3 linked regions of the Elephas maximus indicus genome follow. The protein of the gene in region 2 binds, or shares a complex with, the protein of the main gene of each other region. Links are inferred from orthologs where the notes say so. Each region holds a gene or a part of one and is shown on either strand. Other genes may lie near its edges.

Region 1 (7,873 bases), on a different chromosome or scaffold from region 2:
TACAATAACGTATCGATGAAAATAAAAATGGTTAAAACTACAGAATTCGTACCTTAAGCAACCCATCAATCCTAAAACATCAAAGAGATCTGAACTCTCACTTTTTATATTTGCATTCTCCCATGACAATCTTAGAAATTAGACAAAGCTCCATTTAGCCATAAATGGATAAGAGAAATGGCAACTTTCACTATCAAAAGGCATGCCCACAGTTAAAAGTAATACAAACTTCATTAAATGTCAAAAGATGAATTTGAGAACACCAATCATTTTAACACAAAATGCTCTCAGTAAATATAGACCTAACTTGACAAAAAAAAGAAAAAAATTGTTTAAGTCCTCTATCAAGACAAATAATTGTTCAGAAAAATCAGATTAAATTTCTCAGCCGCCGGTGATCCAGTAAGGCAAGATATTAAAAAGCTGTATTTATTAATGGTGGTGATTGCACAATATTGCAAATACAGTTAATGCCACCAAATTATATACTTAGAAATGGTTAAAATGACAAATTTGTTATGTGTATTTTACTACAATAAAATTTTTTTAAAATTTTAAACCTGTCTTTTAGAAACTTTTGACTGTACATTTAGAGCCACTGTTTTTTTATCAAGAAGGAAAGGCAGTTTGTACAGAGCTGATTAGCTGATGAAGAGACAAGGTTTTAAATATTTTTTTCTTAACTTTTTCTAAGTTTAAGCGTTTTTCTCATTTCTAAATTTGGTTATCAGAGGACTATACTACAACCATAGCAAAACTTGTGAAAATGAACACTTGCTAATAAAACCACAGAAATTACGTATCACTTGAAGCTCACACTCTTCTGTTAGGCCTCAAAAAGTATTTTGAAAATAGGCATGAAGTAGGGGAGCCAGGAGAGCCCATTTATTACCACTGCACCCAAAGAAATCTTTCTCCTTCCTGTTCCCCCACCATTACCCAAAGGAAAGACAACAAGGAAGTCATCGAAGCTGCGTTGCTCTCTACAAATTAACTTTGCCCTCTACAAACTAACTCAGCCAGAGTGTGAAAACAACTCCTGCCACACAAACTACACACAATGGACTTGAATATTCCTTTTGAAAACAGCCCTAATTTACAAGTTTCAAATTCAGAACATTTGGAAACAAGCCTAATAAAATGGTAAGCATATGTAACAAGTTAGCTATCCTAGAAAGTTTACAGGACAGTCAAAACTTATCATCTGGAATTTGTCAGATAATCACCCCGAGTACTCAAGAGAATAGAAGTCACACACTTCAAACACCTACATCTATGACAACAAAAGCTTGGATACGGACAATAAGACAAAATACGACCAACAAAAGAACATGAAACAATCAAAGCCACAAAACCCTGGGGATAAAGCTGTTCATTATGGCCCAAAAGGGTCATAATGGAAAAGACAGTCTTCCTTTCTCAGGCCCTTTCAGACTAAGAAGTTCTAAACAGGCCTAAATGTAGATGTTAAAAAAAAAAAAAAAGGTAAACAATTTTTTAAAATGCATTACGGAGCATGCATAAAATAAATAAAAGTATATATTTATTACATGCTTTAAATGATAGTTTTTAAACTGTAGGAATGACACAGATTAATAATTCTTCCAGAATATACTTTTTTCTTTGTCCTATGCAATCCTGAATGACATACGTTTATAAAAATGAATACAGGTTTCAACTCACATTGTTTCTCCAGTCTTGGCTACATGACAAAGAAACTGATCCAGGACAGGACAAACTTCCTTTTTCCCCCTCTTCTCAAAATCTAGATAAGAGAAGAAAGAAATGTTATTAGTATTTCCCAAAGTCCATCAACCATTCCCAACACCTTAATACAAACTTTCCTCCCAGTCCTTCCCCATACTAAGAAACAATAATAAAATAAAAATTAAAAACTCATCTTCTCAACCAAACAGCCACCTCTACCCTCCCAAGCTCCACTTCCAACATGTCACCCACTTCACTGGTATTCACTGCTAACAGGACGCCTCCAAAAGGGGGCACTCGACTTCTCCAAAAACTAGCCTGAATACAGTGTTTCCCAAAGTGGGGTCACGGGGAACACCAGCATCCGCCTCACCAGGGAATCCGGTTAAAATACAAACCTCCAGGCCCGACCCCATTAACTGTTTATCTAGGTGAAGTTCACAAGTCTACGTTGTAACGAACACCACCTACTCGACGGAGCCACCCCCAAACGATTCTGAATTGTCAAAACATAATTCTCAAATCCCTGAAACCATGATATTCCAAGTTTGGGAACCACTATTCTCAAGCCTGTTGCTTGGAAGGCGACCACCTTTTAGAATTAGGGCGCGTGCAAAGATGCCTCCAGAAGCCCTGAAAGGCTTCGTAAGACAACCTAAAAGTTGCTTTGCCAGCGCCGCCCCCCCACCTACCCTTTTACTTTTTCTCTCACCCCGATGCCCGGCATGCGGGAGCCTGACGGCGAACCGAGCCTGCCTGCGAGGGGCTACGACCTGTCCCCGCCGGGGTGGGAGAGGGGCTGGAGCCCCTCCGAGAGCTCCCCGACTCCCCTCCCCCAGCCCAGACGCCGGCGGCAGACACAAAGCCCAGAGCGGGGCGGGAGGGAGCTGCCCACAGGGCTCCCCGCCCCTGGGAGGTGGGAGGGGGAGGGGAGCCGGAGACGCGCCCTCCCGGGCCCGGGCCGCGGAGCCACCGGCCCGGAAAGGAGAAGAGAGAGGGCCGCAGAAGGAGGGGAGAAGGGAGAGGGGCAGCCACCCCCACCTTTCAGCGCCTCCTGCAGCCTCTCGACGTCCATGGCTTCCCGGAGTCCCTCGCAGCCTCCGCCTCCCGCCGCGGGTCTCCCCGAGACCGGAACGCCTCCCCCCACCCCCCCGACGCCCTCCCCCTCCCTCGCACACACTCCGGCACGCAGGCGACCGGGGGGGGCACCGAAGGGAGCCGGGGGAAGCGAGCGAGAGAGCGAGACCGACAGAGCGAACACCTCCCCGAGCCGCTACCACCAGCCCTCCAACATGGCGCCCGGCACGTCACCGCGCGCACGCTCCCCGCCGCCGTCCTCGCGCCCGCTGCGCGCCCCGAGCCGGGAGCCCGAGAGCGCGTGCGCGGCGGAGGCGTGCCGCCGGGCGGTCCCGTCGACCCGGCCTGGTGGCGGGCGCCGCATCCTCCGCCTGCGTGGTGCTCCTCGGCGGGCCCCCGCGGTACTGCAGACAGCACGGTAAAGGAGCGGGTTGGGAGCTGACTCGCAGGATTCGAGTACCCTAGCTAGCTGTGTAACCTTGAGCAATTTACTTCTCCTCTCTGAGCCTAATTTTCCCAATCTGTGCAATGAGGGGAAACCCTGGTGGTGTAGTGGCTAAATACTGCGGCTGCTAACCAAGAGGTCAGCAGTTCGAATCCGCCAGGCGCTCCTTGGAAACTCTATGGTGCAGTTCCACTCTGTCCTATAGGGTCGTTTGGTACAGTGAGGGCACTGGTTCCGACCACCCTATCTATGCAGTTTCTGTGAAAATTAAGGAAGAATGTGTACACACAGCGTTCAGAGTATGAATAAAAAGCACTCTGTATTACAGCTATTAATAGTGACAAGAATACCTCTGCCCCTGAACTCGACGTTCACTCGTCACTGACCCACCCGTGAAAAGAAGCAACGCATACAGCAAAGTGATTCAGAGCTCAAGCTTTGGAATCAGCTGAATTCAAATCCCACTCCACTACTTACTCCCTCTGTGGCCCTGGACAAGTTACAACTCACAGAGCCTCAGTTTCCTTGTCATAAAATGGGAATTGTAAAACAGGATTGAGGATTGCGTGAAACGGTGTGTATGAAGCACTACAGGACCTGGCACTTGGTGAGCACTTAGTTAACAAGGCTCCTGCTGTTTTTAGTATCATTGTGATTAAGATTACATTGCCTAGGCACCCAGGAAACTAAACAGGGGACTGCAGAATCCTTCTCCAGCGCTGACATTTAACAAACGGGAAAGCTGAGGCATACAGAGCAAGTCCGGCAAAACAGCAACTGAAACTGGGACATCTGGCTCCCAGCCTTTGTGTGGACATTTTTGTGCTCTTGTTATGTCCGTGAACTTTTAAAGGAAAAGGCACTGGACTGTTGCACCTTCTCTTCCCAAAGCCTAGCAGAATGTCATGAAAGAAAGGAAGAAAGAGAAGGCAGTTTCTGGGCTTGTCTTGTTGTTGTTAGATGCCGTGTCAAGTCAGATCCAACTCATAGCAACGCTGTGCACAGTAGAACGAAACACTGCTCTGTTCTGTGCCATCATCATAATCGTTGCTATGTTTGAGCCTATTGTTGCAACCACTGTGTCAATCCATCTCTTTGAGGGTCTTCCTCTTTTTCCCTGACCCTCAGCTTCACCAAGTGTGATGTCCTTCTCCAGGGACTGCTCCCTCCTGATAACATGTCCAAAGTACATGAGACAAAGTCTCTCTGTCATCACTTCTAAGGAGCATTCTGGCTGTACTTCTTCCAAGACAGATTGTTCATTCTTCTGGAGTCCACGGTATATTCAATATTCTTTGTCAACACCATAATTCAAAGGTATCAATTCTTTGGTCTTCCCTATTATTCATTATCCAACTTTCGCATGCATATGAGGCAGTTGACAACACTGTGGCTTGGGTCAGGGACACCTTAGTCCTTCCTCAACGTGACATCTTTGCTTTTTAACACTTTAAACAGGTCTTTTGCAGAAGATTTGCCCAGTGCTACACATCGTTTGATTTTTTGACTGCAGCTTCCATGGGCATTGATTGTGGACCCAAGTAAAATGAAATCTTTGACAACTTCAATCTTTTCTCCATTTATCATGATGCTGTTTATTGGTCCAGTTGTGAGGATTTTTGTTTTCTTTATGTTAAGGTGTAATCCATACTGAAGTCTGTAGTCTTTGATCTTTGGTTTGTCTTCCCAAACAAAACCAAACCCACTGCCATCAAGTCGATTTTGACTCATAGCAACCGCATAGGGTTTCCAACGCTATAAATCTCTATGAAAGTAAACTGCCTGTGGAGCTGCTGGTGGTTTCAAACCACTGACCTTTCAGTTAGTAGTCAATGGCTTCAACCATTATGTCACCAGAGTTCCTTTGGTTTGTCTTAGAAAGCACAAATTTGTATGCAGCCGTTACAACTGTTGACACTCTTAAAAGGTAGTGGCTGTGATTCTTACCCTAGGTTACAGATGCAGGCAAAAGTCTTCCACACCCAAAATACCTCTCTGGAGTGTTGTAGTTGGAAAACCAGTTCCCTTCCATTGTCTACAGCATTCAGCTCAATTACAAATAGCCTTGTAGGGGTGGCAATAGGGTGTCATCATCAAACACTTGGTCAGCACTTATGATGCACTAAATTTAGTTTTTCATGGCCCCTTCTAGTCTGAAAGGGCCTACTGTGCCTACATAAAAAGCCTGTCCTGCACTTCTGACACCCAGTCTTTTTTTTAGGCAGGTCACTTGCTATACAAAGGTCCCTGGGTGGCACAAGCAGTTTCCACTCAGTTACTATCTTAAAGGCTGGCAGGTTGAATTCAACAAATGATACCGCTGAAGAAAGGCCTGGTGATCTACTTCCATAAGGATTACAGCCAAGAAAACCTTATGGCTCTACTCTGCAACACGTGGGGTCACCATGAGTCGAAAATGAATCGACCCAACAGCAACAGGTTTGGTTTTGGTGTCTCAGTGTAAAAGCTGGCTGTGTAATACAGTTCCACTAACCTCATGTGACTGTTTAAATTCCAGTAAATTAAACAGGAGTAAAATTGAAAATTCAGTTCCTTAGTTACACTAGCCACATTTCAAGTGCTCAATAGCCTCGTGTGGCTAGTGGTTTTTGTATTGTGCCTTGCAGATACAGAAAACTCCATCCTTGCCCAAAGTTCTCTTAGACAGTGCTGTGTTGGAGGAACTCATTGTGCTAATTTCTTCCTCCTTGCTTTGTCCCTTTCATCAGTCATTCCCCTCACTTGGGCATGCCTTTCATTTCCAAACTGGATAAGGTCTGTGACAGGAAATAAAGTGGACACAGCAGTGACAGCCTAAGGGAATCAGGGAAAGCTTCCTGGAGGAAGTGGTGTTTAAGCTGAGACCATTGAATTATGAGAGGAAGGGAGCGAAGTGAAGTAGATAGGAGGAGAAGAGGAGCTATCAAACAAAAAACCAAGATGCCTTGAAATGAAAGAGAAGAGCCAGGTGCATTCTAAAGATACATAAGAAATTCAGTCTGACTTGAGCTGAGAATGCAAGGGGAAAAGAGGCAAAAGAGGAGACTGAACAATTATTTCCTTTGGTTCATTAGTTCTTTCTTCCTTGGATTTTTTTCCCTAGCTAGCATGTATCCCAATGTCAGTGATTCCTTAAGCCTCCTATTAGTACTAATTCCCGTGGAGGATAACAGCATACAAATGTGGTAGCCAACCTCCACAATGGCCCATCTTAGTTACCTATTGCTGCTGTAATGCAAATACTGCAAGTGGAGGCTTTAAAGAACAGAAATTAATTTTCTCACAGTTCTGTAGGCTAACAGTCCCATTCAGGGTCTCAGCCCTGTCGATTCCTTCCTTGTTGGTAGCCCCGGGCATTCCTTGGTTCTTGGTGATCCTCACATGCCATCTCTCTTCCTTAGTGTCATGGATTGAATTGTGTCCCCCCAAAATATGCATCAACTTGGTTAGCTCATGATTTTGTGTATTGTGTGGTTGTCCTCCATTTTGTGATTGTAATTTTATGTGAAAGAGGATTTGGGTGGGATCGTAACACCCTTACTAAGGTCCTGTCCTTGATCCAAGGTAAAGGGAATTTCCCTGGGGTGTGGCCTGCACCCCCTTTTATCTTACAAGAGGTAAAAGGAAAGGAAAGCAAGCAGAGAGTTGGGGACCTCATACCACCAAGAAAGCAGTGCTGGGAGCAGAGCGCATCCTTTGGACCTGGGGTCCCTGCGTGGAGAACCTCCTAGTCTGGAGGAAGATGAGTAGGCAGACAGAGGGAAAGCTTTCCCCTGGAGCTGACACACTGAATTTCGACTTCTAGCCTACTCAACTGTGAGAAAATAAGTTTCTCTTTATTAAAGCCATCCACTTGTGGTATTTCTGTTATAGCAGCCCTAGATGACTAAGACACTTAGTATGTGTTTGTTTCTGTGTCTAATCTACTCTTTTTATAACTCAGAAGTGGTTGGGTTTAGGACACTACCCTGGCGTGGCCTTATTAACAGAACATTAGGTTGCATTATGGAAGGTGTTTATATTACATCCACAAGTACAGGGGTTAGAATTCCCACACATATTTTGGAGGGTCACACAATTCAATCCATGACAGCCCCCAATGATCTTTGCCTCCTGAGATTCATTAGGAGGCCTGGTGGCACAACAGTTAAGCTCTTAGCTGCTAACCGAAAGGTTGGGGGTTCACACCCACCCAAGGCTCTCCGCAGGAGAAAGACCTAGTGATCTGCTTCTGTAAAGATTACAGCCAAAAAAAAAAAAAAAACCCAATGGGGGCAGTTGTACTCTGTCACATGGGGTTGCTATGAGTCAGAATTGACTTGATGGCAAACAACAACAACAATGCATTGTAGACTTCTCCCACACTGAATCAGAGCTGTCTGTGTGACCAAAAACAGTATAATGGCAGTGATGGCGTGACTTCTGAGACTAGGTCATACAGGGAACTGTGGCTTTTGCCTTGGGCTCTTTGATTGCTCACTCTGGGAAGCCAGCTTCCATGTCAAGAGAACATTAGAGCAACTGGGTGGAAAGGTACACCTAGAGAAGAACTAAGGCGGTGGAAGCAGACCTGCAGCCCCAGGAAATCCTTCAGATAACTGCAGCCCCAGTTGACTTCTTGAGTACAACCTCATGAGAGACCCC
Region 2 (7,695 bases):
ATGCGGACGACTATCATTTACCATTTCAACATGTTAATTACTGAGAAGTAAAGTATTCCAAATATAAAACGGGGCAATACCAAAGTAGGTTAAAAGCTGGATTATTCTCTAAGTAAACACCAAAAAAATACATGCTGTTAATTTATAGAGTTTTCTTTAAATAAATAAGTCAATGTGATGACAGCATGTTGTAATAGATCACCAAAAGAAAAGAAAAAACAACATCAAGAAAAAGGTCTAAGATCCAGAAATACTTTGAAATAATAGAATTATTTGAGAGAATGGCCTAAAATAAGCATGGTGGTATTCCGACTGAAGTAAGAAGAGACACTCAAGATGCCAATAGTTGTCTAAAGACTAAGAAGATGGAAGTCATAGAGTGGGATTTTTTTTTTTTTTTAAAGAATCATCCAGTAAATAACATGTGGCAGGAAACATGATCTATAAACCAGAAAGGAGAATAAGACACTTGCCAACACCTGAAACCAGCAAAGTAGACCTAAGCCAAGGAAACAAGGATGACCAATATCTTGGGAGGTAAATAACAACTAGTTTCCGAAATCTGAGTCTGAAAAACAAAAGTGAAGACTGATTTGTCAAAAGGGGGAAAAGCTTTGTACATGTAGAAAAGTTTTAAAGCAAATATACACAAAATGCCTTAAGAAAAGTTGTGTTTCCTAAGTATTTTCAGAGATAAGTTCATTAAGGTTCACCACATTAGCTTCTAAGAAGCTAAATCCACAAGAATGCAATTTTAAAAATAGTTGAGAGAAATCCCATAAATATTTGCAGTAATCATTTGCCTGAGAAAATTCTGTAGAACTTGTGAGAGTTTGAAACCTAAATAAGAGGAGGCTCAATTAACAAAAAGTCTCTTGGGCAAAGTTATAAAGATCATAAAAGTAAAAGTAATACAAATAGGATGCCCTGAGCAGCAAATTCCAACACTATGATATTTTGGGGTATTTTTTCTACATAGTAAATGGTATCTAATGGTCATAGCCTACAACAAGCTTAAAATTAATCACTGGATATTCTTGTCTCATTTAAACTCACTGAATCCTATGTGAGAACCACTAAAGCCAAAAAAAAAAAAAAAAAAAAAGAGATGAGAATCAACTCAAGCCATTAGTTATTTTAAAATGCTCTGCTCCCCCTCCTCCAAGCAGTATTCTATAAATCGGGTCTCTTATTTCAGTTCTCAAATTCATAAGTTCATACCTAAATCTAATTTATTCACAACATATTCAAGTGATTTGCATGCAAAAGTACTCTGTCAAAATGGTTAACCAAATCTGAACATCATCACAACATGACATCTCTGAAAGCATTCATCAATGCTGTCGGAAGAGCAGCCACTTCACAGAAAGCCTTTAGGAAATACCTGAGCAGGTAAACAGCCCTTTCAATATCACTGAGGTCTTCATCAACTGTCAGTCTTTCTATTTCTTCTGGTGTCTGTCAAATATAAAATACAAATTATGTACACAAACACTCAGGTCGATCTCGCCCGCCAATGACCCTCTGTGAACACCACCAATGAAAAAGTTTCACGATTCAGCATTATCAATGAAAACTAATCAAGGGTCTGAGGATTCTAGGAGACCTGAACAGAGAGAATCATGTCGCTAATTGTTGAGTTTGGGTGGTTGAGTTTGTTTTGGTTTTTTCTTTTTTTGTTTAATCACTCTTCTTCTAGCTTCTAGATCGCAGCTTGAGAATCACATCGTGCCTTCAGAACCTTGCAGAAATCCGGTGTTATATGCATATATTAAGTAAACACACAGTTTTTATTTTCAATAAGCCAAGGCTGTTTCTCCAGAATTTTCCAACCCAGGAAATGCTAAAAGGGGGATAGATGAAGACCGCAACGGAGTGGGTATGAAAAGGACGAAATCTGAGAGTGGGGGAAATCAGAGTCGAGAGAGGGAGGCAGGTGGGACTTAGAAGGGCTAAAGGGGCTCCGAAGCGGATGGCGGGGCCCGGGGGTCTGTAATCTCGGTTTGCCAGCAGCGAGGTCTACATCCTCCGAGGCTGAAGGAGATGACTCTGCGGGGTGGGGAGCAAGTGGGGGGTGGGGAGCAAGCTGAAGGGCTAGTCCCTCGAGGGGGGTGGGGAGCAGGGTCCCAAGTGGAGTTGAAGGGGCTGGGAGGAAACGGACGTACGGGGACTCAAAATGGGGCGACGGGTCCGCTCCTGAGAGAGCTTTGAAGACCGGGGCTGGGACGACTCTGGGAGGTGACTGGAGGCCCGGGCGGACTTGGGGCAAGCGGGACCCGAGCTGGCTCCGACAGGGGAGAAGGTCCGCGATGGAGGTGGGGATCGGGTGCCTCGAGGAGGGGTCGGAGGAGGGGGCGTCGGGGCTGTGCCGACTGAAGGACGGGCCCGGGGCCAGAGCCCGGCAGCACGGGGGCCAAGGCGGCCCCGGGACAGGCGGGAGGAAGGGGCAGCGACCCGGGCCGAGGCTGCGGTCGGAGCGGGGCGCCCCGGGCGGACGCGGGGCTGGCTCCCCCGGTCCTGGGGCCAGGCTAGGCCGGGGACGAGGGCTGGGGACCCCGTAGGGGCCGGGACCAAGGCCAGGGCCCCGTTCCTCGGGAAGAGGTCCAGCCTGGGAGAGCCGGGGCCGTGTCGAGGGGTCCCCCGGAGGGGCCGGTGCGGGCGACAAAGCGGCCGGGAGGAGTTGGGCTGTGAGAGGGTCCCGGGCCACGTCGGGTCGGGACGGTGCCGGGGGGCTTCGGCGGCGGGGCGGGGGTCAGAGCCGGCTGCTGGGGGCTGGGGGCCGGGGGCCGGGAAGGCGGCCGGGCGCCCTGCGGGCAGCCTCTCCTCCCCGGGGCGCACCTTGAGGCTCCGGCGGACCGGCCTCTCGATGATAGTGAGCTCCTGCAGGTCCTCCATGTAGCCGAACAGGCTGTTCTGACTGAAATCCATCGCGGCGGCAGGCGGCGGCGGATGCATGGACGGCCGGGCCCCCTCGCCGCCCGGGCCGGAGCGGCCCCGGGATGCCGGACGCGCGCAGCCCCGCGGCCGCCCAGTAGCAGCACTTTCTCCCGCTCTCCGCCGCGGGAGCCGAGCGTGAGGCTAGCCGCCGGCGGGAGAAGGAGCGCGACCGGCCGAGGGGGCGGGGCAGGCCAGCGAGGGGGCGGGGCGCGGGGCGGGGCGGAGCCAAGGGCGGGGAAGCCTCAACAGTGCCCGCCTCGGCCCCGCCCCCCCCAAGGCGCCGCGCACAAGGGGGCTGGACGCAACTGCCGCGCAACGTCGCGGCGGCCACCACCACCCTCTGCGCTCGCCCCTCTTCGCCCACCTCTCCGCTAGCCCCGCCCCGACTGAGCGCGCACCCGCCGGCAGCGCATGCGCAGAGCCCTCCGCCTGCCACGGCCGGCTGTGTCGGGCTGGGGGGCGGGGACGGGGGCAGGGAGGCTAAGCCTTTGAGAGGGGAAGCAATGGAGAGGGGGGATCGGGTCTCGGAGTGCTGATGGATGGTGCAGCGGTTAAAAACTCAGGCTGCCAACCTAAAATAAAGGTCGGCTTCCCGAATCTACCAGCCGCTCCATGAAGAGCGTATGGTGCAGTTCCTATAGGGTCGCTGTGAGTCTGAATCGGTTGGTGTTTGAGTTTTTTTTTAACCTTGCTCTTGTCTTTATAAACGCCCACCCCCGCTGGCGCGCTCCGGACGCAGAGACCACCCAAGCGCACCTCTAGCCCTGAGGAGGAGCAAATAAGCACCTCTTTTTTTTTTTTTAGTGCGTGCACGCCTGAGTGTTCGGGGAGAGGTGTATGGGAATACAATTCTGGAGGGGGCTCAGCTTGGGAGGACGGCGTTCAGAAAAGGCCTCCTGAGGGAGAGACACTTAGACTGATCTTAAAAGATCAAAAAGGCTTTACCGAGAGAAAGAAATAAAAGAGGCCCTTTGGGGCAGAGGGACCTGCTCGGCAGAGGCACAGTGGCTTAGAGCCTGGGCGTGTTTCGGTTGTGGGAAATGCAGTCGGAGTAGAGTTTGGGGTGCGGGGGGAGCGGGTGCTTGGTAAGGTAGGTGGAAGAGGAAGCAAGTTCTTTAGGTAGAAAAGCCCTGCTGTTGGCAGCCGCGTTACGTCGCTTGCACTTGCTCCTGCGGAGAACTGGTTCTCTGAAGAATGGGAAGCGTGGCAGGGGTGTTAGGGCGGTTTTCTGAACCTCGGGGGCAAGAGTTGTGCTCGTCATACTCTTTAATTGTCGTTCTTTCTCCACACTGCCATTCCTCTGCCCCATGTGCACCCTCTCTCATAGGTTTAGTTCTGTCCCAGCACGTGTATAAAACCCCTTGCTGTCGAGTGGATTCGGATTCAGCGATCCTACAGGACAGAGTAGAACTGCCCCATAGAGTTTCCAAGGAGCGCCTGGTGAATTCGAACTGCCGACCTTTTGGTTACCAGCTGTAGTACTTAACCACTACACCACCAGCATTTCCAGCACATGTACAGATCCTTGAAAGATACTGATGTTTTTAGTTTATGCATCAATTTTTAATAACACGAATGGTATTGTGCTAAAAAATTCATTGTTTTTCCAAAAACATAATGTTTTAGGGGTCTATCCATGTGGCTAGATATACTAAAAAAAGGAGTTCATTAATTCTGTCCACAAATCGTATTAGATTTGTGTCTAATAAAATTTACTTTTACTTTACTTTGTTGTTGTTGTTAGTTGCCATCTAGTCGATTCCTACTCTGCAAATAGTTAAATGCTGGACTATTAACGGAAAGGTTGAAGGTTCAAACCCACCCAGAGGGGGCCCGGAAGACAGGCTTGGCAATCTGCTCCTGAAAGGTGACGGATTGCGCACCAGGATTGCCATGAGTTACTTTTACTTTTTCTGTCTTCAAATGATGAACAGCTAGGTGGACCCAGCAGCTCCTTGCTACCACAGGTAATGCGGATACGACTGTTACACACGTCCCTTTATGGGCCTACGAGAAAGAAATAGGATCGTTGGGTCACGGAGTCTGTGCTTCACTCTGCCTGCTTGCTCTCCAGAATGGCTTTGCCAGTTTACACGCCCATCAGTCGCGTGTGAAGGTAGGAAAATTCCTGTTTCCCCACTTACATGCTAACATGTGGTCTTAATTTCTATCAGCCTGATATCAATAAAGTAGAATTACATTTTGGTTTTTCATTTTTATTTCTTTGATGATTGGTGATGTTACCCATTTTTCCATATTAAGAACCATTCTGGTTTTTTCTTCTGTGAATTACTTATTTGCATTCTTTGCCTATTTTCCTGCCAGATTTCCTATTATTTTTCTGAATGAATTGAAGGAGTTTCTTTCATATTCTAAATATGAATCCCTTGTCAGTCTTTGGTGTTGCAGACATCACCCAGTCTTTCATGCATCCTGTTAGTTTGGTCTTTGGTGTTCTACAATGAAGGGGAAATCCTTAATTTTGATGTAGCCAAATGCATCCAATTTCAGCCTTGTAGTGTATGCTTTTGGATTTTGCTTAAGACTTTTTCCCTTCCCAAGGTCACCAAAATATTCTCCTACATTTTTTTCTATTTGGCTTTATAATTTCACCTTTCACAGTTAGGTCTTAATCCACCTGGAGCTCACCTTGTATCACTTTGCATTTATTACAGTGAGCAGAAGGAGTCAGCTTTGTTTTCTCCACACAGTGAGCCAGTTTCCCCAGCAGCACCTACCAACAATCCATTTTTTCCCCACGGATGTGTGACGGGGCCCTGATGGTGCAGTGGCTAAGAGCTTGGCTGCAAACCAAAAGGTCAGCAGTTTGAATCCACCAGCTGCACCTTGGAAACCCTATGGGGCAGTTCTACTCTGTCCTGTAGGTTCCCTATGAGTCAGAATCAACTGAATGGCAACAGGTTAGTAAGCAAAGAAGATGTGTGACAGTGTCTCTGTTATATGCCAAGTCCCCAAGGACACATGAGTCTGTTTCTGGGCTCTCATTGCTTCTCTCTTGATCTAGATCAGTTTCTGTGCCAGTATGGCACTGGTTTTATTGCTATGGCTTTGTTATATGTCTTAATACCTGGTGGGTACCTAACACCCCACTCTTTACTCATTTTTTTTTTCAATATCGTCTGTGTAGTTCCAAGCAAAAGTCAGTGGTAACCCACCGCTGAATTTCAAGTTTTCTGATTCCCTAGTCCGCTATCGAAGTTGTCCAGGATTTCATTTTACTTGGATCCACAATCAATGCCCGTGGAAGCAGCAGTCAAGAAATCAAATGATGTAGTGTTTTGGGCAAATCTGCTCCAAGAGACCTCTCTAAAGTGTTTTGTTCTGTTTTGCATAGGATCGCTATGAGTCATAATTGATTTGATGGCACCTAACAATGACAAAAGTCCACTAAAAATGGAGCAGTGGTGATTTAGTGGTAGAATTTTCACCTCGCATATTGGAGACCTGGGTTCAATTCCTGGCCAATGCACCTCAAGCGCAGCAATCACCCATCTGTCAGTGGAGGCTTGCTTGTTGCTATGACGCTAAACAGGCTTTAGCAGAGATTTCCAGACTAAGATAGACTAGGAAGAAAGGCCTGGTGATCTCCTTCTGGAAATAAGTCAGTGAAAACTCTGTGGATCACAGTGGTTCAGTCCACAACCAATCATTGAGATAGCGAAGGACCAGGCAGCATTTCATTCTGTTGTGCACGGAGTCACCGTGAATTGGGGGATGACTGGACAGCAGCTAACAGCAACAAGAGCTCACTAAGGAGAAAAGTGGAGGGGAAAATAGAAGAGGGAGGAAATGTGCAAGGACAGGATGGAAAAGAAGCAGAGATGAGGAGAGGTGGTTTTCCTTGGCAAATTACCTTGTAGCCACCCTTCTTTGTCACTTCCTGAAGTTCTCTTCCTTTTCCCCTTAATTGTAACTGACACTAAATATTACTTCTGGCTAAGAAATCTTATCTTAGGGTTTTGTAACAGTATCATTGTCATCTGAGACTTGATGACATTCTTAACGAACAATTGATGGAGTGCTCCGGCATAGCTTTGATGTTTGCTCTTCCAGGGCAGGAGGCTGATGAAGGGAAAATGTTCAACTCGATGACCAGAATCTGTAACTGGTACAGTTACCACCCCATGGTGGAAGAAGCCCTCCCCAGTCTGGCTGCCAGGAAACCTGAGTCCTAGTCCTGGCGGTGCCACTGGAATAAGGTGTAATCTGGAGCCCTGTTTTCCTTATCTGAACTGTTTTCGAACGTGTTGTCTCCCTGTGCCCTCGGGGCAGCCCTGTGAGGTACACAGACATGCCTCACTATTCCAGTATCACACATGAACACCCAGCTAAGGGAAGCTTTAACCACTGCACCACCAGGGCTCCTTTAAAGCTACAGGGATATTGGTAATTTGTTACAGCAGCAGTGGGAAACTAATACAATTATTTGTGATAAAATACTTAAATTTGATTTTTACCTCAGACCATACCCAAAAATCAATTTCAGGTGAATAAAAGGCCTAAATGTGAAAGGAAAATCTTTCAAACTTTTGGAAGAAAATATGGGAGAATATCTCTGTGACATCTAAAGAGGGAAAAAATTCTTAAAAAGCAGAAGCTATAAAATTAAAAAGTCGACAAATCTAACCTTTAAAATGAAGAACTTGTATTCATAAAAAGACACCAATAAATGACGAGATGGACCACAGACTGAGAAAAGATATTTATGACAAATTAATCAAATAAAGATTATTGTCC
Region 3 (7,951 bases), about 2.6 Mb from region 2:
AAATTTTTTTTTATCTTCATTAAGAAGGAGCCCTGGTGGCACAATGGTTAAGTGCTGGGCTGCTAACCGAAAGCTCAGAAGCTCAAAGCCACCAGCCACCCTGTAGGAGAAAAGGCCTGATGATCTGCTCCCATAAAGATTACCATCTAGGAAACCCTTTGGGGCAGTTCTACTCTGTCCTATACGGTCACTGAATCGGAATCAACTTGACAGTACAAAACAAGAACATTTAAAGAAAACATGTTCCCACAACAAATACTGCCATGAGGAACCTAGTGAATAAGGCTGTGATCCAGAAATGCACTCCATAGCTCAGTCAGACATCCCTCCCCTCCAAAGCAGGTGGGCCATATACCTACTAAGGCACTCAGCAACTGAGGGGATGCACATACTAACCCCAAGACTGATCTGCCCTGTAATACGGGGGCCACAAGTACTTCCATTCAGAAATTGCCTCTCTGATTGTTAGGTGTCAAGCTCTTCTAACAAGAACCGAGACTCCATTTGAGACAGCATTATTATAGTCTCCCTGCCTCAACACAGACCCTAGCTGCAAAGATCTTAAGCAAGATCTTAACACTGACCTGGCTATGTGATCTTAAGCAAGTTACTTAGCCCTTTGAGCCTCACTTTCCTCATCTGTAAAACATGGCAATAATAGTACCTACCTCTTTTTTTGCACTATATTTTGTTCTGTTACACATAAGTTGGAGCTTATCTGACTACAACTAACAAAAACAATTATTAATAGTATCTATTTCAGATTCAGAGGGGTGCTGTGAGAATTTACAAGAAAAGTCCCAAAAGAATCCCTGGCACATGGTGGGCATTTGGTAAATTTTAACGATTATTATTCATATTTGGAATTTTCCTATTAGAAAAAATGTTAATCATTAAACTAAAAGTGTTTCCTACACTATTTCACAAGTTTCCTGGGATTTTTCTAAGCCCACTCTTTGGATTCAGTTTTCTTTACAACTCAAATTTAACAAGAGCATACCAGTAATTTAGTTTAGCTCTCTTTATCTGTTAGATAAAAACTGAAGCCATTTGTTTTAGTCATTCAACTTTCCCTCCAAAGAGAGGGAAAGACGTTAGGGACTACTGCTAAAGTGGTAAAAATCAAAATTGGGAAAAAAACAGAGTCCTAAATTACCATGTTAGAAGCGTATGATTCCTCTTGATAGTATGACATTATGCTTTAATGTTTAAAAATACTTTAAACAAAAGACTCATTTGTATTAAGTCAAGTTTAAATACATGATGTGAATTAAGGTTTTACGTTTGAGATTTCAAAGATCCACATGCTGTCATCTCAAAAGAAGTTAACTGAACCTTTCCAACTCACTAAGTAAAAAGTTCTGCCAAACATCCAGACTTGTAGGATAGCTGATTATTATGTGATAGTCCTACACAATAGAACACTAACACCTGACAGTCAAACATATTATTTCACGAGACAGATAGGTCTCAAAAAAATAAATCCAATATATTCAAAATCTTAAAAATGCCTCCAAAAAGAAATTATTTTTCTCCAGTTTAAAGCTAATTTGGGTAGCCCATAGACAATTTACTCCAAATTACCATTGTACCACTTTTCAGTTCAAACTGAACGTCAATATCCCTAGAATTTTGTTTTTTGTGTAACTGAAGCTCTGGTTAGAGTGTCCAATGGAAAATTCCTTGAAATGAATTTGTAATAATTCAGATATGTGACCAACGACTGTAACCATAATAAACTGAAAAAGCTACTGGAAAATTAGACTGCAAAGTAACAAGAAAGGTGAAATAAAACTACTTCCAAACCGGTAAGAAACAACGTGAAAACAGTTTCCCCTGAGATGGTTATATTCTTTTAAGTGTAATTCACAGTATGCACTGAGAGAAGTGGGAATCCTTACAAGGAGCAAGTCTTTATAAATCTGAAACACTGTTACTTTTGACACCACGTGGTCTATGAACCTGGAGGGCTGTTACAAAAAATGTGAAGGGTTTATGTGAAGCCTGAGGCACAAGGGCAGATCTTAAACGATTTTAAAAACATCTGCCAACTTCTCCCCACCTGTTACCTGAACCAAAATATAAACATATATTTAAGGAACCAAAAAAGCTCGCATAGAATGATTCCAATTTTGCAAGATGTTTACAGATGAAAACGACCCACAAAAGTCGGCATTGCTACTTTGAAAAAGGCAAGCAGTACTGAGTAACACAAGTCTATCTTCTCCGGGCAAAGAAGCGCATTTTCCCTGCCGAGTGTAGCCGCCAGATCCATGAACCATTGTTGTCAACCTGCAACAGGATCAGAAACAGGCAGCAGAGAGATATTAAAAGGAAACAAGGAGAGCATGTGCAGGGTAAAAAGCTCTTCAGAGTGAGTTGGCGAAGAACTTTCCTAGCTCCAACAAAGTGTCATCTCGCTGCTTTACAGATGGGTGAACTAAGGCGGAAGATCGGACGCAGCGGTGCCTTTCTCAAGGTCACCCCACGGGTGCGGAAGAGCCGCACACCCCGCGCTCCCCCGGCCCCGACCTCTCCCCGCTCCCGGGCGGCGCAGCTCGGACGTGCTCGGCTCCCCTCCCACCCACATGCCCCAGGCACTCGGAGAAGCAGACACTCGCGCGCTCTCCGTGGAGCTCCCTGGCGGCTGGGCACCGCGCCCCCGCAGCCCAGCCGGGGACCCCTCCGATCCTGTCCGAAGGGCGCCCCTGCCCCCCGACAACCGTGGAGGCGACCAGAGTCCCGCCGCGAGGGGCTCCACTCACCGTCACTCTCGGCCCTGACAAGCAGGGACATGCCCTTCAGCCGCTCCACGTAGCCGGACGACACATGCCCGGTGCCTCGGTCGTCCCACTGCCGGTCCTCGTTCAGCGTGTAAACCTTCACCCGCCGCCGGGTGTCGGTCATCGTGCCGCCCAGGGCCTGGGGCGGGCGCCCCGCCGGAGTCGCCCGAGCAGGGGCCCGGGGAAGGCGGGAGCCGAGGCGGGAGGGCGCCGCCGAGCGAAGGTCTCCCCGGCCTCACTGCCGCCGCTGGCCGCCGCGGGGCCGCGCCGCCGCCCGCATGGCCCGCCTTCGGGCCCGAGCTCTGGGCCGCCGCCTTCCCTCGCCTGCGGCTCCTCGGCGCTATTGTCCAGGCACGGCGAGCCCGGCCGCCCGGCCGCCCCGAGAAGGCGCGCAGCGCTCCGCGTCCTTCCGCCGCCCGCGGTAGGAACTCGGGGCGCCAGTCACTGCGCTGCCCCAGCCTCCGCCATGAGCTCCCCGAAGTCGCTTCCCGCGCCGCCGCCGCCGCCGCCGCCTACTCAGGCTGCCGCCGCCATGTTTTCCTTCCTTATACCTGACCCTGCCACCGTAGCCGGTGGCTCCGCACCGCCCTCCCTTCTTCAAATGTCCGAAACCGACGGCCGCCTGCTTCTGCTGCTACTGTTGCCGCTGATCAGGAGACTCCGAGACCCCCGGCCGCCCGAGCGCTCCTGGCTGTTGGGAGTCCCTTCCTCTACGCCGCTGCCACCGCCTCTTCCGTCTTCCTCACAGAGCCAATGCCGCCGCCATCTTGGTTCGTCCCTCAATAGGCGCGCGCGGGGCCTCCCAGGCAGCAGCTGCAGGGGCGGCCCGTTGGCCCCACCATTTAAAGAGACAGAAGCGAGGCCTGGCGCCTCGCTTCCGCGGAGGCCTCGGACGAGGCGGGCTCCGAGTTGCCGAGGTGGCGGGAGCTCAGAGCGTGGGCGAGGCGGAAGGCTGGTCGCGCAGGTGACGGCCCGGGACACCCTCGCGCTTCCCAGCGCGCACCGTCGTGCGAGCGCGGGGCGGTGTGTGCGTCCGTCGCGCCCTGTTTTCGTCATCAGCCCCGCTCGGGCGTTCGAAAGGGGCGTGGGCCCGCCTCCGACTGGGGTCGCTGGGCCCGGTCTCAGGCCGTCATGCTCTCGGCTTCTCGGGCTTCAGATTCCCCTGGCGCCTTCGCGGCTGCTCCTGTCTTCCCGGCGCCGGGCGTTTCGGGGCCGTGGCTCTGCCCGCGGCGCACCAGCCGCCTAGAGTGTCCCCATCCAGGCCGCCTTCGTGGCTGGACGAGGCGCTCCAGACGCCCTCGGGCGCGGAGTTCGGGAGGCTCGGGACTCCAGGCTATTCCGCTTTGCGATGCAATTGAAAAGCTTCTGAGAAAGGCCACAGGTTTGGGCCGCGAGGCCACCGCGAGTCTTGGGAGCTGCCGTGGGGCACCCACTTCCGTGGCGAGGCCACTAACGGGACAGCTTTAAGTTTTCTGGGCCTAGAACTAAGCGCCAAGTGACAATTCAAAAACCTGATTTTACATTCCACCTGCGACCTTCATTTCTCTTCCTTTATCAGAACCAGTATTTTCTAGCTAATACTGTTTTTGGAGCACCTGCTTGACGTCAAGCAGTGTTAATCTTCACAAAGGAATAACATTGTTTTTCTTATCTCACGCAAATAATAGCCACTATTTTATTTTAGGGCTTTTTCTGTTTGGCAAACCATCTATGTCAGTGCTGTCCAATAGAAATAGAATGCGAGCCGTATGTAATTTAAAATTTTCTAGTAGCCACTTTAAAAAAAAAAAAAGAAAACAGATAAAATTAGTTTAATAATGTATTTTATTTAATGCCATACTTTTTAATGTTTTCTTAACGTGTAATCAATAAGAAATTAAGGTATTTCACATTTATTTTCCTATTAAGTCTTCAAAATCCGATGTGTATTTTAACCTTAGAGCAAATTTCTATTCAAATGCTAGAATTTTCATAGAAACTTCTGATGTACATTTAAATTTCATTAAATTTACAATTGAGAAAGTAGATTCACAAACTCAAGTTGGTTCAAACAAAAATATTTCCAAAAGTTGAATTAAGTATCAGTTCTTAAATTTAAATTTTAATTAAAATTAAGTAAAATAAATTTGGTTCGTCAGTTGCAGCAGCCACATTTCAAATTCAGGTGCTTAGCATTACCATGAATCTTGCAGTGACCCTGTCCTGTAGTTTGTATTATATCCTTCTATGCAGAGAGGCCCTGAGAGCAGGACCAATCAGCCAGGTGTGCCCGAGGCTGAGAGATTTACCGGGTTTGAGGGGTTTTCATGGGATGCTGGCCTTGGCAGATTTAAAAATCAGAAAGTGGCACCGTTTCTCCTCCACAATGTCAGGTGCATGGAAGTGCTTGCAAAGAGTAGCCCAAAACCTTCATCATTTAAAAATAAAACTGGATGCTTTTACTTAAAAGAATAAAATGCCATGATTTCAAGTATTAGGGCATGAGAGCAGTTTTGTCAATGGAGCCCTGGCAGTGCAGTGGTTAAGAACTCAGTCTGCTTAACCAAAAGGTTAGCAGTTTGAATCCATCAGCCTTCCCTTGGAAACCCTGTAGGGCCATCCCGCTCTGTCCTATAGGGTCACTATGAGTCTGAATTGACTGGACAGCAACAGGTTTGGTTTTCGTTTTGGCATGACATCAATAAAGGAGACCTGGATGTGCAGTAGTTAAAGTACTCAGCTACTAACCAAAAGATCAGCAGTTCAAACTCACCAGCCACTCTTTGAGAGAAAGATGTGACAGTGTGCTTCCATAAAGATTACAGCCTTGGAAACCCTATGTGGAGGTTCTACTCTGTCCTATAGGGTCACTATGCATCGGAATTGACTTGACAGCAATGGTTATGATACCAGTAAATTTATTTGTGGGAAAAATGATACTTTTTAAATAAATTCCTTTTAAGTTAAACTGCAAGAATTATTAAATCGAAAAAAGTTAAAATTCTGTTTTAAGTTACAAATCATATACAATCTATTTGAATGAAATTTTAGTACAATCTTAAATGACAGTAAATACTTTTAAAGTTTAACCACTTTTGGTTCGATACCCGGCCAAGGTACCTTATGTGCAGCTACCAGCCGTCTGTCAGTGGAGTCTTGTGTGTTGCTAAGATGTTGGACGGGTTTCAGTGGAGCTTTCAGACTAAGACAGACTAGGAAGAAAGGTCTGGTGACCTACTTCTGAAAAATCAGCCAGTGAAAACCCTGTGGGTCGCAATGGTCCAATTCCTTTGTGCTTAGGGTCACCACGAGTCAGGAGCCGACTCAACAGCCAACAACAGCAACAATAACATTCTTCAGAGTTCTCTTTACTTCCTACTAGCCAACCCTCCTTCCTCCAATCCCCTGCTATAGGTAATAGGTCTTTATATTAAATACTCCCTGTCCCAAATAAATAAATAAAGTTTAATCACTTTTTAATGCTGTACCATCCACAAATGGTGATAGAATTGAGAAAATTTCCAAGGGAGTTCAATAAAGCATGTTGCCAATCACAAAAGGTGGAGATACATTGTCATTGTGGTCAAGGCTGTGGCTGATGGATTATGAGTCCAAGTCCTGCCTGTTAGTTGTTTGACATTTACTAGTTGCTTAACCTCTCCGTGGAAACCCTGGTGGCGTAGCGGTTAAGTGCTATGGCTGCTAACCAAGAGGTCAGCAGTTTGAATCCGCCAGGCGCTCATTGGAAACTCTATGGGGCAGTTGTACTCTGTCCTATAGGGTCACCATGAGTCGGAATTGACTCGACGGCAGTGAGTTTGGGTTTTTTTTGGTAACCTCTCTGTACCTGTTTCCTCACCTGTAAAATAGGAACAGGAATAATGTCTAGGTTTGTTCTAAGGATTCAATAAGTAACTGATTCCTTCTCTGCTCTCAACATAAAAGTTTCCACTGAGCCTTTGTACCTTCACCTACATGCATAACATAAACTTGTAAAATATACAATGGAGCCTATTCATTACATGATATTTGTACCTATTCTGTGTTACATACCTTTATCCACATTGCATTCATCATTTTATAGTGTTGCCTGCTTTAAAAGTCCTGGAAAGAGGAGGAGCGGGGCTGCTGGGTCATGCACTGCTTGACTCCAGAATGCGCCTTCCATGAAGATGACCTCTGTGTAAGACAGTGAAGATAATGGGGGCTATATGGGAGTCCCCCACCACTCATTTGTCAGTTTGTTGTACTGTGGTGGCTTCTGTGTTGCTGGAAGCTATGCCACTGATATTTCAGATACTGCAGGGTCACCCATAGTGGACAGGTTTTGGCAGAGCTTCCAGACAGACAGACTAGGAAGACAGACCTGATGATAAACTTCTAAAAACAATTGGCCAGTGAGAATCTAAAGAATAGCGGCAGAACACTGATACAGTGCCGGAAGGCACTTAAAACTTGACTGGGAGGAGCTACCTCCTCAAAGTAGAGTCAACCTTAATGATGTGGATAGAGTAAAGCTTTTGGGACCTTCATTTGCCAATGTGGCATGACTCAAAATGAAAAGAAACAGTTGCAAACATCCATTAATAATTGGAACACAGAATGTACAAAGTATGAATCTAGGAAAATTGGAAGTTGTCAAAAATGAAATGGAACACTCGAGGATAGATATCCTAGGCATTAGTGAGCTGAAATGGACTGGTGTTGGCCATTTTGATTCAGACAGTCATATGGTTTACTATGCTGGGACTAACAAATTGAAGAGGAACAATGTCACACTCATCGCTAAAAAGAACATTTCTAGATCTATCCTGAAGTACAGTGCTATCAGTGATAGGATAATATCCATTTGCCTACAAGGAAGACCAGTTAATACAACTATTGTTCAAATTTACACATGAACCACTGATGCCAAAGATGAGGAAATTGAAGATATTTACCAACTTCTGCAGTCTGAAATTTATCAAACAAGCAAATAAGATGCATTGATAATTATTGGCGCTTGGAATGTGGAAGTTGGAAAATACGGCCTTGGTGATAGGAACGATGCTGGAGATTGTGTGATAGAATTTTGCAAGACCAACAACCTATTCATTGGAAATACCTTTTTTCAACAACATAAATGATAGTCCTCACCAGATGGAATACACAGTAATCAAACTGACTACATCTGTGGAAAGAAACAGTAG

The links.
Region 1: PPP4R4 (region 2) and PPP4R2 share a complex: the UniProt entries of both Homo sapiens proteins name them as parts of the PP4 complex. The link is inferred for Elephas maximus indicus from reciprocal best matches to the Homo sapiens genes PPP4R4 and PPP4R2.
Region 3: PPP4R4 (region 2) and PPP4R3A share a complex: the UniProt entries of both Homo sapiens proteins name them as parts of the PP4 complex. The link is inferred for Elephas maximus indicus from reciprocal best matches to the Homo sapiens genes PPP4R4 and PPP4R3A.

The regions. Positions count from the first base shown.
Region 1 is NC_064838.1:20,592,578-20,600,450, reverse strand, and holds the start of PPP4R2 (serine/threonine-protein phosphatase 4 regulatory subunit 2), read right to left. Parts: upstream 3,011-7,873; 5' UTR 2,783-3,010; coding exon 2,749-2,782; intron 1,766-2,748; coding exon 1,684-1,765; intron 1-1,683. UniProt on the Homo sapiens protein: Regulatory subunit of serine/threonine-protein phosphatase 4 (PP4). May regulate the activity of PPP4C at centrosomal microtubule organizing centers.
Region 2 is NC_064828.1:107,733,693-107,741,387, reverse strand, and holds the start of PPP4R4 (serine/threonine-protein phosphatase 4 regulatory subunit 4), read right to left. Parts: upstream 3,079-7,695; 5' UTR 2,956-3,078; coding exon 2,839-2,955; intron 1,459-2,838; coding exon 1,385-1,458; intron 1-1,384. UniProt on the Homo sapiens protein: Putative regulatory subunit of serine/threonine-protein phosphatase 4.
Region 3 is NC_064828.1:105,164,986-105,172,936, forward strand, and holds the start of PPP4R3A (serine/threonine-protein phosphatase 4 regulatory subunit 3A), read right to left. Parts: upstream 3,034-7,951; 5' UTR 2,908-3,033; coding exon 2,766-2,907; intron 1-2,765. UniProt on the Homo sapiens protein: Regulatory subunit of serine/threonine-protein phosphatase 4. May regulate the activity of PPP4C at centrosomal microtubule organizing centers.